Arabidopsis thaliana: one gene and its partner. The protein of the gene in region 2 interacts with the protein of the main gene of each other region in a biochemical or structural test. Each region holds a gene or a part of one and is shown on either strand. Other genes may lie near its edges.

Region 1 (5,875 bases), on a different chromosome or scaffold from region 2:
ATGTACTGGAGTCAATGTTGCTGTTATGGTTGGTGGTTTCCCGAGGAAAGAAGGTATGGAGAGGAAGGATGTGATGTCCAAGAATGTTTCCATCTACAAGTCTCAGGCTGCTGCCTTGGAGAAGCATGCCGCTCCTAACTGCAAGGTGATACGATCTGTTTGCTTTTTAAGTTAAATGAAGCCACTGCATCCAATCTTCTCTGTTCATTGGAGTGTAACAGATGCTTTGTGTTCTCTATTGGGTTCTAGTTTACGACTCTCTTGCTCACACATTCGCTCTCGTTTTGTCTTTTTTTTTTCAGGTTCTTGTTGTGGCCAACCCGGCAAACACCAACGCATTGATCCTCAAGGAATTTGCACCATCAATCCCTGAAAAGAACATCTCTTGTTTGACAAGGCTTGACCACAACAGGGCTTTGGGACAGATCTCTGAGAGGTTGAGCGTGCCAGTGTCTGATGTTAAGAACGTGATCATCTGGGGAAACCACTCATCCTCACAGTACCCAGATGTCAACCATGCTAAAGTGCAGACCTCGTCTGGAGAGAAGCCTGTCCGTGAGCTCGTCAAGGACGATGCATGGTATGTATAACATGCCATAGAACTTAAGACCCTTTCTCTTCTCTGGAAGCAAAATCTAGTTTCACTTAAATATATTGCTCATTCTGTAGGTTGGACGGAGAATTTATCTCTACAGTTCAACAACGTGGAGCTGCAATCATCAAGGCGAGGAAGTTGTCTAGTGCGCTCTCTGCTGCTAGCTCTGCTTGTGACCACATCCGTGACTGGGTCCTTGGAACTCCAGAGGTTCATAATAAAACTCTTCCCCGTTATTTGCAGTGCTGTTTTTTTGTAACAGTTAATCTAATATGAGTTCTTTCTTTGATTCAAATTGTCAGGGTACGTTCGTTTCCATGGGAGTATACTCCGATGGCTCTTACAGCGTTCCATCAGGACTTATCTACTCCTTCCCTGTAACTTGTCGCAATGGAGACTGGAGTATTGTCCAAGGTAAATATGACGCACTTACAAACTCAAATGCTCATCAATTATGAAATCCTAGATTCTGCAGACCCTAATGTGTATTTTGTTTGGTTAGGCCTTCCGATTGATGAAGTATCAAGGAAGAAGATGGATTTGACTGCAGAGGAGCTCAAGGAAGAGAAGGACTTGGCGTACTCATGCCTCTCTTAAACCCTTCTGGAGCAAAATTTTCATCTATAAGGTGTGAGATCAGTTAAAGCCTTTCAGGGCTTTGTCCGAATAAGAAGTGTGTTTGAAAGATCTCCAAACACTGTTTTATAACCTCTTTGGTCTCTTTGATGAGTATTGTCCCTGGTCTGTTTCTAAACCAGGATATCGTTTTTTTCAATGTGTCTGATTTGGTTTACCCATGAAAAGAAGAAAATTGGCAGTTGCATGGTTATCTTTTGCGATTATTTTTTTCTGCTTTAGCAATTAGCCCAAAATTGATGAGCTCTTCGATAATGGGTTTGTGCAATTGTGATTTGTGAGGAATGGTGTTATTGTGTTGCAATTGCAAAAAGAAATGCTACTCTTGCAGATTCATACCAAAACCAAATCACTAGATTAAACTGAAATTCTAATGTGGATTATTTTAATTTTACTTCTATTTTTCTTCACCCAAATATTTTATAACCAAACACCAAGTTGACACCAAAATATACATCCAAAAAACTTAGATTGCTTCTATTTTACGACTATCCGAAATCGAATCATAAACCGTAGGCAATGGTCCATTAATAAGGGGTATACGAGGATTCAAAGTTTGAGAGAACTTTTTTATCTTTACCTTTTTCCTTTTGTAAAGTAAAAGCAGTGGATTTTGATTATAGATTCTACTTGGTAATGACTAATGAGAATCAAGTTCTCACCTTTAAGCCATATAGACTTTAGATATTTAATGGATTCTACAAAAGTGGGCATGACCAGAATCGAGTTCATGAACCACCGTCCTCGGCCCCAACGTTAAAAAACTTTTTTCTCTAGCATAAGAAGATAAGAGTATCTTCACTGCGCTTTAGGCCCACTCAACATTCAAACAAAATTCGATCTCTTATAAAAAAATATCTCACAAGAGAAAGTTCGTACATGATCCCGATAAAATCGTAGATGAGCAAATCAAAGATGAGATGTCGGTAAAAAAAACGCTATTATAAGAACACACGCCACTAGTTGTGGATAAAGTTGTCTACTTTTGTCTCGTTGTGATTATTATATTGCACAATTATTAACATTCATACTCTCATATGGGTATTGTTTTTGGTCTCCGTTAGATCTCAAATCTTTAACTTTGCATACCCAAAATAGGAAGAAAGAAGAGTCAAGTCACTAAAATAACTTTCACAGTCTTTGATTCGAAGATCTTTGTCGCCGAGAGATATCCACTCTGATTTGAGTTCTGGTAAAAAGTTTCCAGCTTTTGATTTTTGTTTCTCTCAATTGAATTTCTCTTGCTTGCTCTGTTTAAAAGGATTAGGATTAAATCGAATCTCTCTCTGTTATGTTTTTTTGTAGATTATTTTGGATTTTAGGACTCAAAGATTACAGATTTCTTATCAATCATTCTCTGTTATTGTTATAGAACTATTCTCTGGAGGAGGTTGAGGTCTGAAATCATGGAACAACTTGGTTAGAGTGTGGAATTTTAGCTGATTTGATCTTTGATTCATCTGTGATCATAATAACTATGAAGATGGACAAAAAGACTATAGTTTGGTTTAGAAGAGACCTAAGGATTGAGGATAATCCTGCATTAGCAGCAGCTGCTCACGAAGGATCTGTTTTTCCTGTCTTCATTTGGTGTCCTGAAGAAGAAGGACAGTTTTATCCTGGAAGAGCTTCAAGATGGTGGATGAAACAATCACTTGCTCACTTATCTCAATCCTTGAAGGCTCTTGGATCTGACCTCACTTTAATCAAAACCCACAACACGATTTCAGCGATCTTGGATTGTATCCGCGTTACCGGTGCTACAAAAGTCGTCTTTAACCACCTCTATGGTATATACTCTTTCATCTCTTATTCAAAGGATATATATTCTTATTAAGTTAGTGTAGTCTAAGTGCAACTGAGGTTGATGCGATCACGTTTTTCTTTGTTGTAGATCCTGTTTCGTTAGTTCGGGACCATACCGTAAAGGAGAAGCTGGTGGAACGTGGGATCTCTGTGCAAAGCTACAATGGAGATCTATTGTATGAACCGTGGGAGATATACTGCGAAAAGGGCAAACCTTTTACGAGTTTCAATTCTTACTGGAAGAAATGCTTAGATATGTCGATTGAATCCGTTATGCTTCCTCCTCCTTGGCGGTTGATGCCAATAACTGCAGGTAAAACCTTAAAGAGTATTACTTAAAAGCTAAAACGTTTTTGATTTCTTCAGGACATAAGCGGTAGTAAAAGTTTATGGCTTTTTCTTTGTTAGCGGCTGAAGCGATTTGGGCGTGTTCGATTGAAGAACTAGGGCTGGAGAATGAGGCCGAGAAACCGAGCAATGCGTTGTTAACTAGAGCTTGGTCTCCAGGATGGAGCAATGCTGATAAGTTACTAAATGAGTTCATCGAGAAGCAGTTGATAGATTATGCAAAGAACAGCAAGAAAGTTGTTGGGAATTCTACTTCACTACTTTCTCCGTATCTCCATTTCGGGGAAATAAGCGTCAGACACGTTTTCCAGTGTGCCCGGATGAAACAAATTATATGGGCAAGAGATAAGAACAGTGAAGGAGAAGAAAGTGCAGATCTTTTTCTTAGGGGAATCGGTTTAAGAGAGTATTCTCGGTATATATGTTTCAACTTCCCGTTTACTCACGAGCAATCGTTGTTGAGTCATCTTCGGTTTTTCCCTTGGGATGCTGATGTTGATAAGTTCAAGGCCTGGAGACAAGGCAGGACCGGTTATCCGTTGGTGGATGCCGGAATGAGAGAGCTTTGGGCTACCGGATGGATGCATAACAGAATAAGAGTGATTGTTTCAAGCTTTGCTGTGAAGTTTCTTCTCCTTCCATGGAAATGGGGAATGAAGTATTTCTGGGATACACTTTTGGATGCTGATTTGGAATGTGACATCCTTGGCTGGCAGTATATCTCTGGGAGTATCCCCGATGGCCACGAGCTTGATCGCTTGGACAATCCCGCGGTAAACTACAAAACTTGTCTTATAGTTTAGAATTCAAAGCTTAATACCAGTTTTTGCTATGCATTCGTTTTTTATTTTATTTTTCAGCTTATTTGGTTTGGTTGATTTAGTTCTGAAGTCTATGAAAACTCTGTTTTTATTTCAGTTACAAGGCGCCAAATATGACCCAGAAGGTGAGTACATAAGGCAATGGCTTCCCGAGCTTGCGAGATTGCCAACTGAATGGATCCATCATCCATGGGACGCTCCTTTAACCGTACTCAAAGCTTCTGGTGTGGAACTCGGAACAAACTATGCGAAACCCATTGTAGACATCGACACAGCTCGTGAGCTACTAGCTAAAGCTATTTCAAGAACCCGTGAAGCACAGATCATGATCGGAGCAGCACCTGATGAGATTGTAGCAGATAGCTTCGAGGCCTTAGGGGCTAATACCATTAAAGAACCTGGTCTTTGCCCATCTGTGTCTTCTAATGACCAACAAGTACCTTCGGCTGTTCGTTACAACGGGTCAAAGAGAGTGAAACCTGAGGAAGAAGAAGAGAGAGACATGAAGAAATCTAGGGGATTCGATGAAAGGGAGTTGTTTTCGACTGCTGAATCTTCTTCTTCTTCGAGTGTGTTTTTCGTTTCGCAGTCTTGCTCGTTGGCATCAGAAGGGAAGAATCTGGAAGGTATTCAAGATTCATCTGATCAGATTACTACAAGTTTGGGAAAAAATGGTTGCAAATGATCAAAATAATGTGCTGTTATAAAGCCTAACATGTAGATGTGTGAATGTGTCTTTTAACTCTTTGTTTCCTTTTGGTTATACTCAAAAGGATATGATTGCATAAACATATAATGCTGATATTATTTCAATTGGCTATGAATAAAATATACATATTTGTTTAGTCTTTGAATTTGTTTCATCTGAGTTGTTTAGTTTGAGGAAAAAGATAACGGCCAATTTATATTTCTTTATAAAGAAAAGAAAGGAAATCTCGATACACGACGTTTTTATATGAAACAAATGCAGTTGGAAATAAAAGTAACAAATCATTGGTCTAAAAACCCCAATGAAAAATAGTAACTAAATGACTGAATACTACGGTAAGATTTTTTTAATTTCTATAAAAATATAAGATTTTTTTTGATGATTAAAATATTTTTTTATAATCAATTACAAATAATTATCATATCTTGAAAACAACAAGAATTTTTTTGATATAATAAAAATATTAAATTAAATTACAAAAATAAACGATACTAGAATTATATTTCATTGAAATTTCTTATATATATATATAGCTGATATTTTAATACAATTATTAATTTATGATATTGATGGGACTATATGTTTACATAGGATTTTCAAAAAAAAAATATTTTATTAATTTATCGATTTGTATCGCTTTTTACACTAGTCCCAAATACTGAAAGAATTTATTATTTTATAAAAATGATTAATTTATCGAATATTAATTTATAAAGGTTTTACTGTACTTGCATGGCACAACAACGAGAAAAAGTCCACGCGATAAAGCTTCAATGTCAGGAATCATCAGGCGTCGAAATGTTTGACAATGGCATCGGTTTCGTCCAGAGAGGAGTCGACGGGGCCTGGATGAGGGTCGACGTAATCGGAATTGTCGTGGAAAAGAGAGTAGAAGCAAGATCCGATTCGGATAACGTCTTCTTTACTATCAGTTTTGGTTCGTAACCATTATTTTTAATC
Region 2 (6,333 bases):
TCTTAGAAGTTATATATAAAGAAAGCCTTACTGACAAACAAATGGTGATCGAATAGAGTTCCAATCCAAAACATTCCAAACACAAATCAAATTCGTAAGATGGCGGGTCTTCAAGCGAAGACGTTAATGTTCGTTCTGGCAGCTGCCTTAGCGACTCTTGGTCGCACATTTGTGGAGGCAGACTTCAGTAAGAATTTTATTGTTACATGGGGTAAAGATCACATGTTCATGAATGGTACCAACCTTCGACTTGTCCTAGACAAATCTGCAGGTATATAGTAATCTTATAACACAATAACTTTAAAATCAGTCCATTTAATTTTAGTCTATTATTTCATGAGAAACTTGATAGATAAACATGTATAACTGTTTTTATGTTTTTGTTTGTTTTTGCAGGATCTGCTATTAAATCAAAGGTGGCTCATTTGTTTGGAAGCGTAGAAATGCTCATCAAACTTGTGCCAGGGAATTCTGCTGGAACCGTTGCAGCCTATTACGTAAAATTTTCTTTTGAACTCGATCGATAGAATTACAAAAAAAATAAAAAAAAATAGAATCAATACGCAATTCTTTTATATATAGAAAAATTAGATTAATGTTTTCAGATTTTTCTTTGTAGTTATCGTCTACGGGAAGTACACACGATGAGATAGACTTCGAGTTCCTAGGAAATGCGACTGGTCAGCCGTACACGATCCACACCAACTTATATGCTCAAGGGAAAGGAAACCGCGAACAACAATTCCGGCCATGGTTCAACCCGACCAATGGTTTCCACAACTATACCATCCATTGGAACCCATCCGAAGTTGTGTAAGTAATTAACTTATGGCTATGGCGGTTTCTTAAGTACTTTATAAAAACTCCAAACAAATGCTAAGAAATGGTACTTTCTATCAATGAAATACCACATCAAAAAAACTTAAGTAAGATTAAATGTTACTTAGATAGTTTAGTTTGTTACTGTAAAACAACATTAAAGTACAAACACTTCATGATGAATTTTTCTTTTAGTTCCTTAATGTTTTCGAACCTTCAAACCAAAAAAACTTTAGGAATCTCAAACGATTATATGTTTTTATTTCCTTTCTATAAATAAACGTGTCGCACACCATGTTGTATATCTTATATAGGTGGTTCGTCGATGGAACTCCGATCAGAGTTTTTAGAAACTACGAAAGTGAAGGAATCGCATACCCGAACAAGCAAGGTATGAAAGTGTTTGCGAGTCTATGGAACGCAGAAGACTGGGCAACACAAGGAGGTCGAGTGAAGACTAACTGGACGCTAGCACCATTTGTGGCCGAGGGTCGTAGGTACAAGGCAAGAGCTTGTTTGTGGAAGGGATCAGTCAGCATCAAGCAATGTGTAGATCCAACTATACGGTCTAATTGGTGGACATCACCATCATTTAGTCAGCTCACTGCTTCGCAGCTGACGAAGATGCAAAAGATAAGAGATGGTTTCATGATCTATGATTATTGCAAGGACACTAACAGATTTAAAGGTGTTATGCCTCCGGAATGCTCGAAGAAGCAATTCTAATTCAAGTTTCCGGCCAGCGGGCGGAACGAGGAGAGGCTCCGGCAATCATAGCACCGCGGTCGAGGTTAATGGGGACGGACTGTAAATTCGTTTTTCATTATTTTTTTTAATAATTTATTTTTCTGAATTGTTTTTGTGAGGATTTTTGTGTGTCTTTGATTCATTGATAACTCGAATGAGCAATCATGATGAAGAAGAAGAAGTTTTTTTTTTTCCATTTTTTCTTTGTTAAAATCCTATACAAAAAAAAACAAATTCAAAAGCTAAAACCCTAGTAAAAAGAGACAAAATCCAATACAAAATTATCCCCAAAATTATCCATATTTAGACACATTGCGTTGACTTTAGAACTAGTGGATTAGAAACTCCACCGGTCCTACGTGGCAACTAAATTTCAGTCCACGTCACCGACACACAAATTTTCTTAGCCTTACTATACCATACAATTTACGTTAATGCCCCTATTGTCTCATCTATTCGCAAATTTCAACTCTCAAATTCAACGAAGTAAAAAAGCCCTAAATTGATATCTCTATCCCTTGCGCATGATCCAGATTCGGTTGTGATCGGAGCTGCCATGGAACGTATCATCGGCGGCAAGTACAAGCTCGGACGGAAGATTGGCGGTGGTTCCTTTGGAGAGATTTTCCTAGGTGTGTTCTCGTTGATTCTCGAGTTTTGTTCTTCTTCTTTGGTTTGAAATTGACGTACCTTGTTTGTTGATTTCGCAGCTACGCACATCGATACCTTCGAGATTGTAGCTGTTAAGATCGTAAGTTTCAATTGAATCAGCTATTAAACGAATCTACTCTGGGAATTTTGTATCATGTTCATTGTTTCGTGTGGTTCTTTGAATTGATTAACTCTAAATTTATCAGTCAAGCTCCTTGAAATGGTACTTTTTAGCTGACAATTTGTCTTTAACTCAGATCATTTGGATTGTTTTGCAGGAGAACAGTAAAACAAAACATCCTCAGCTTCTCTATGAAGCTAAGCTATATAGAACTCTTGAAGGAGGAAGTATGTTTCTCATTCCTATCTTTTCCCATTCTGTCGTTGTTGGTCATTGGAGGGATTGATTATCAGTACAATGCTCATTTTGCAGGTGGAATTCCGCGCATAAGATGGTTTGGAGTTGATGGAACAGAGAATGCTTTAGTGATGGATTTGCTCGGTCCAAGTCTCGAAGATCTTTTCGTCTACTGTGGGAGAAAATTTTCACCAAAGACGGTCTTGATGTTGGCTGATCAAATGGTATGGCATGAGTTTTAATCACATTTATTGCGTCTGGTTCTGTTTAAATACTAATCATTTCTCTTGAGTTATACATTTATCATCTAATGTGCTTATGATTTTCTTATTCCGATTTTACAGCTAACTAGAATAGAATATGTACATTCCAAAGGATATCTGCATAGAGATATAAAACCAGATAACTTTCTCATGGGCCTAGGCCGCAAAGCGAATCAGGTTTATCTAATTGACTTTGGACTGGCCAAAAGATATCGTGATGCCAACACCAACCGCCACATCCCTTATAGGTATTTGTGGCCATGGTTCATTATATTGTGTCTACCATCTGGAGGTGGTAAATTATCTTATCTGTTATAAGTTTTTAAGGTCACATTATACAACTTATTACCTTTTATTTGGTTGTATTCAGGGAAAACAAGAATTTAACAGGAACTGCACGATATGCAAGTTGCAATACACATCTTGGTATTGGTAAGGAATGCTGCCACTTTTTTCTCCCCTTTGTGAAGTAAAGTTTTTGCTCACATATTTCGATTTCTCTTTCGCAGAGCAAGGTAGACGGGATGACCTAGAGTCTCTTGGATATGTGCTTCTGTACTTCTTAAGAGGAAGGTGTGTTGACTTTTTGACTTGAAAGAACCTAGTTAACATTGTGTTTTTGGCAGGGTATTGTTTTTCCTTGTTTGAGATTTACTTAACCGTTTTCTTGCTTTACATTTTGTTCCTATTTTAATGAACCTCCTTTTCTAGCCTTCCATGGCAGGGTCTTAAGGCTGTTGACAAGAAGCAAAAGTATGACAAAATTTGTGAGAAGAAGATATCAACTCCTATTGAGGTCTATTTCCCTCTACTGTGTGAGTGAATTGTTTTTTGTTAATCCTCATTCAACTGAATAATATCCCATCCTTTGTAGGTTCTATGCAAAAGCCACCCCGTGGAGTTTGCTTCATATTTTCATTATTGCCACACACTGACATTTGATCAACGCCCTGATTATGGATTCTTGAAGCGGCTTTTTCGTGATTTATTCTCACGGGAAGGTACTTTGAGAAAGACATCCCTCCATCATTTTTATAATCCTCTCTGCTAGCATCAGTTATCTACCTAGCTCACTTAAACGTTTTCTTCTTTGCAGGATATGAGTTTGACTATATATATGACTGGACTATTATAAAGTATCAGCAATCACAGAAAACTAGAAGTCAGTCTCAGGTATAGTTTATCAATACCATTTGTTATTTTTTTTTCTCCAGGTGTATGCATATTTTGTCTTGTTCATAGAGAAGATTTCCTGGGGAGAAGTTTTACTTGGTTTTGCTATTTTTTAGTTTTGGTGCTAAATATAGATATGCCTGTCTTCCTAACAATAAACTGTCATGCTGCAGGCCGTTCCTGGGTCTAGTAATGCTCGTGCAATACCAATGGACACAAGCAATCATCGAGGTCAGCTCGAGTTATAAATTTTAATTGTGTCACTTTCTGATTAATTTTGTAATAGTATATGATGTGTTTTTTGTTTTCTCTCGACTTTCACACTGGACTCAACTGGCATAGAGTGTTTGGCTGATTTAGTTTCCCGTTGCAACTGTTTATTTCAATATCTTGATGCTAACTCTCCGTTTGGCAGGAGGAACTAAGATTTCACATGAAGCCCAAGTCTCTGACCGTGTCAGACCGGCTAATGCCAGTGGTCCAAGCCCACAGATTAATACCGCTGTAGGGAGGAGTCTGGGTTTTGATCAAGTCCACAAGAATGTACGTGCTTATTCATTTGCCTCTTCCAAATAAATGTTGTATCCTGCAACCCTCCCCCTTGTGTTAGCATCTCATGCCTGCATCTGTGTTGCTTCAGAGTTCTGCATGGTTCTCTGCTTAAAGCTTTTACCTGTTTTGCATGGTCAATTGTCATCAACGAGCTCTATATTGTGATATGAACTACATATAGCATAAATGATTAAAACACGATACTGATCATCACGAAATATGCTCTTGACCATTATTTTACTGAAAACCCATTGCAGATGAACATGCCATCATCCACTTCATTATCTCCTGCGGGTACCTCAAAAAGAAATGTCAGACCCGAAACCTCAAATTCTGGGTTTGGGAGCGGGAATAAAACCGGCGGTTGGACTTCACCATTCATGTCACCGGGGAAATGATGCAAAAAAAGTTGGAGTATATCATTCATCTGATCTGCTGAGCAAGATTATGTGTGCCTTTGGGTCTAAACTGTGATTTCTGCAGTGAAAAGCTCTAGACTGAGGTTGAAGATCTGAATGGAGTTTTTCCATGAACAGCTTACTGTTTGACAAAAGGCATGAAGATTATGTTTGCTTTCCTTCAAGATTCTCACAAATGACTGACTTCAACCTTTGTATAAAATCTTGCAACCGGGCGTGTAATTTGGTTCTTGTGATTCATTCTCCCAAGTTTTCTTCTATAAAACTTTGTTCGTATTTCTGTACGTAGTTCCCTGTGTTGGGGCATAACCTGGGTTTGCTGTGTCATCAACATTGTTTGCAGAAAATCAAGAGCAAAGCATGAGCAGCTTCAGCAGAGATGCCTTCAAAGGCTTGAGTCAAGAGTTGCTTGTGGCAGGGACATGTCACCATCAAGCTAATGTGCAGCTGACGAGAACGTAAAAGGATAAGCTATGGCTAGCTTCTGGAATGCTCCGAGAAACACTTCCCCCTTTTTTTTTCTCTGAATTTCCTATTCAGTTTAATGGTATTCTGTGTTTGATTTTTCTTACTCGATTTTGTGCATTGAAAAAAATTATATCAAAAAGCTTGACTTGATCCAAACATGCATTTTCAATTGCTATTATTAAAAAAAAAAAACGTATAAAATTGTAGTCTCAATATTGAAATACAAACACCTAGAATTGATCGATTTGGTAGAGAACTAGTTAGTGGATTAAATTTGGGTTGGCTGATTTTCGAGCCATAAACTATTTCGATTCTCAGCTTTCACACCCGGACTTTTGGGCCTTTAAATTTCCACCATCAACTTTCATATTCCCAAAATTACATCATCTATTTTTGGATTCATGCTTAAACATACATTTCCAATTGAACCATTCATTTAACCGGGATTAACCACAAATCCGCGTTTACTGTACCGCGATTGCGATTAACCCAACTAATACCCAGACCCGTTAAGAAAACGACGTCGTTTTCATTTCGTTTAACTCATCAAAAAGAGAAAGAAAACGACGTCGTTTTCATTCTTCTTCTTTAACTCTCAAATCGATTTAGTCGTTCTTCTTTAATCTCGACACTGTGAAATTAGGGTTCTTGAGAGAGAAAGACAAAAGGGGATTTGGGGTTTTCTTCTTCGGTTCGAATTTTTGGGTCTCGATTTGGGTTTCGAATAGGGAGAAATGAAGAATTGGTGGGAGGAAAGATTGATTTACCAAAGCGATCCAGATGACCCCGATTTCGAACCTCCAGAGAGTGACATTGAAGCCGACGATGGAAGTGATAGTGGTGATAGCGGAGTCGAGGAGGACGAAGCCACCAGAATCGAGGG

Evidence for each region.
Region 1: the proteins of ckl4 (region 2) and CRY2 form a complex in vitro, tested with the Arabidopsis thaliana proteins (one study listed by BioGRID).

What each region holds. Positions count from the first base shown.
Region 1 is NC_003070.9:1,184,735-1,190,609, reverse strand, and holds CRY2 (cryptochrome 2), read left to right. Parts: upstream 1-1,913; 5' UTR 1,914-2,423; intron 2,424-2,536; exon of another isoform or gene 2,537-2,603; 5' UTR 2,604-2,708; coding exon 2,709-3,021; intron 3,022-3,125; coding exon 3,126-3,350; intron 3,351-3,445; coding exon 3,446-4,158; intron 4,159-4,303; coding exon 4,304-4,891; 3' UTR 4,892-5,098; downstream 5,099-5,875. Other genes in the region: c-NAD-MDH1 (Lactate/malate dehydrogenase family protein), read left to right, coding at 1-145, 303-580, 670-805, 898-1,009, 1,098-1,192.
Region 2 is NC_003075.7:14,244,237-14,250,569, forward strand, and holds ckl4 (casein kinase I-like 4), read left to right. Parts: upstream 1-2,023; 5' UTR 2,024-2,122; coding exon 2,123-2,198; intron 2,199-2,276; coding exon 2,277-2,317; intron 2,318-2,495; coding exon 2,496-2,565; intron 2,566-2,650; coding exon 2,651-2,799; intron 2,800-2,919; coding exon 2,920-3,086; intron 3,087-3,208; coding exon 3,209-3,270; intron 3,271-3,347; coding exon 3,348-3,411; intron 3,412-3,549; coding exon 3,550-3,634; intron 3,635-3,712; coding exon 3,713-3,839; intron 3,840-3,934; coding exon 3,935-4,011; intron 4,012-4,184; coding exon 4,185-4,242; intron 4,243-4,426; coding exon 4,427-4,554; coding exon of another isoform or gene 4,555-4,587; exon of another isoform or gene 4,588-4,820; coding exon 4,821-4,961; 3' UTR 4,962-5,636; downstream 5,637-6,333. Other genes in the region: XTH26 (xyloglucan endotransglucosylase/hydrolase 26), read left to right, coding at 100-271, 397-497, 620-813, 1,134-1,545; AT4G28870 (mutator transposase MUDRA protein), read left to right, coding at 6,185-6,333.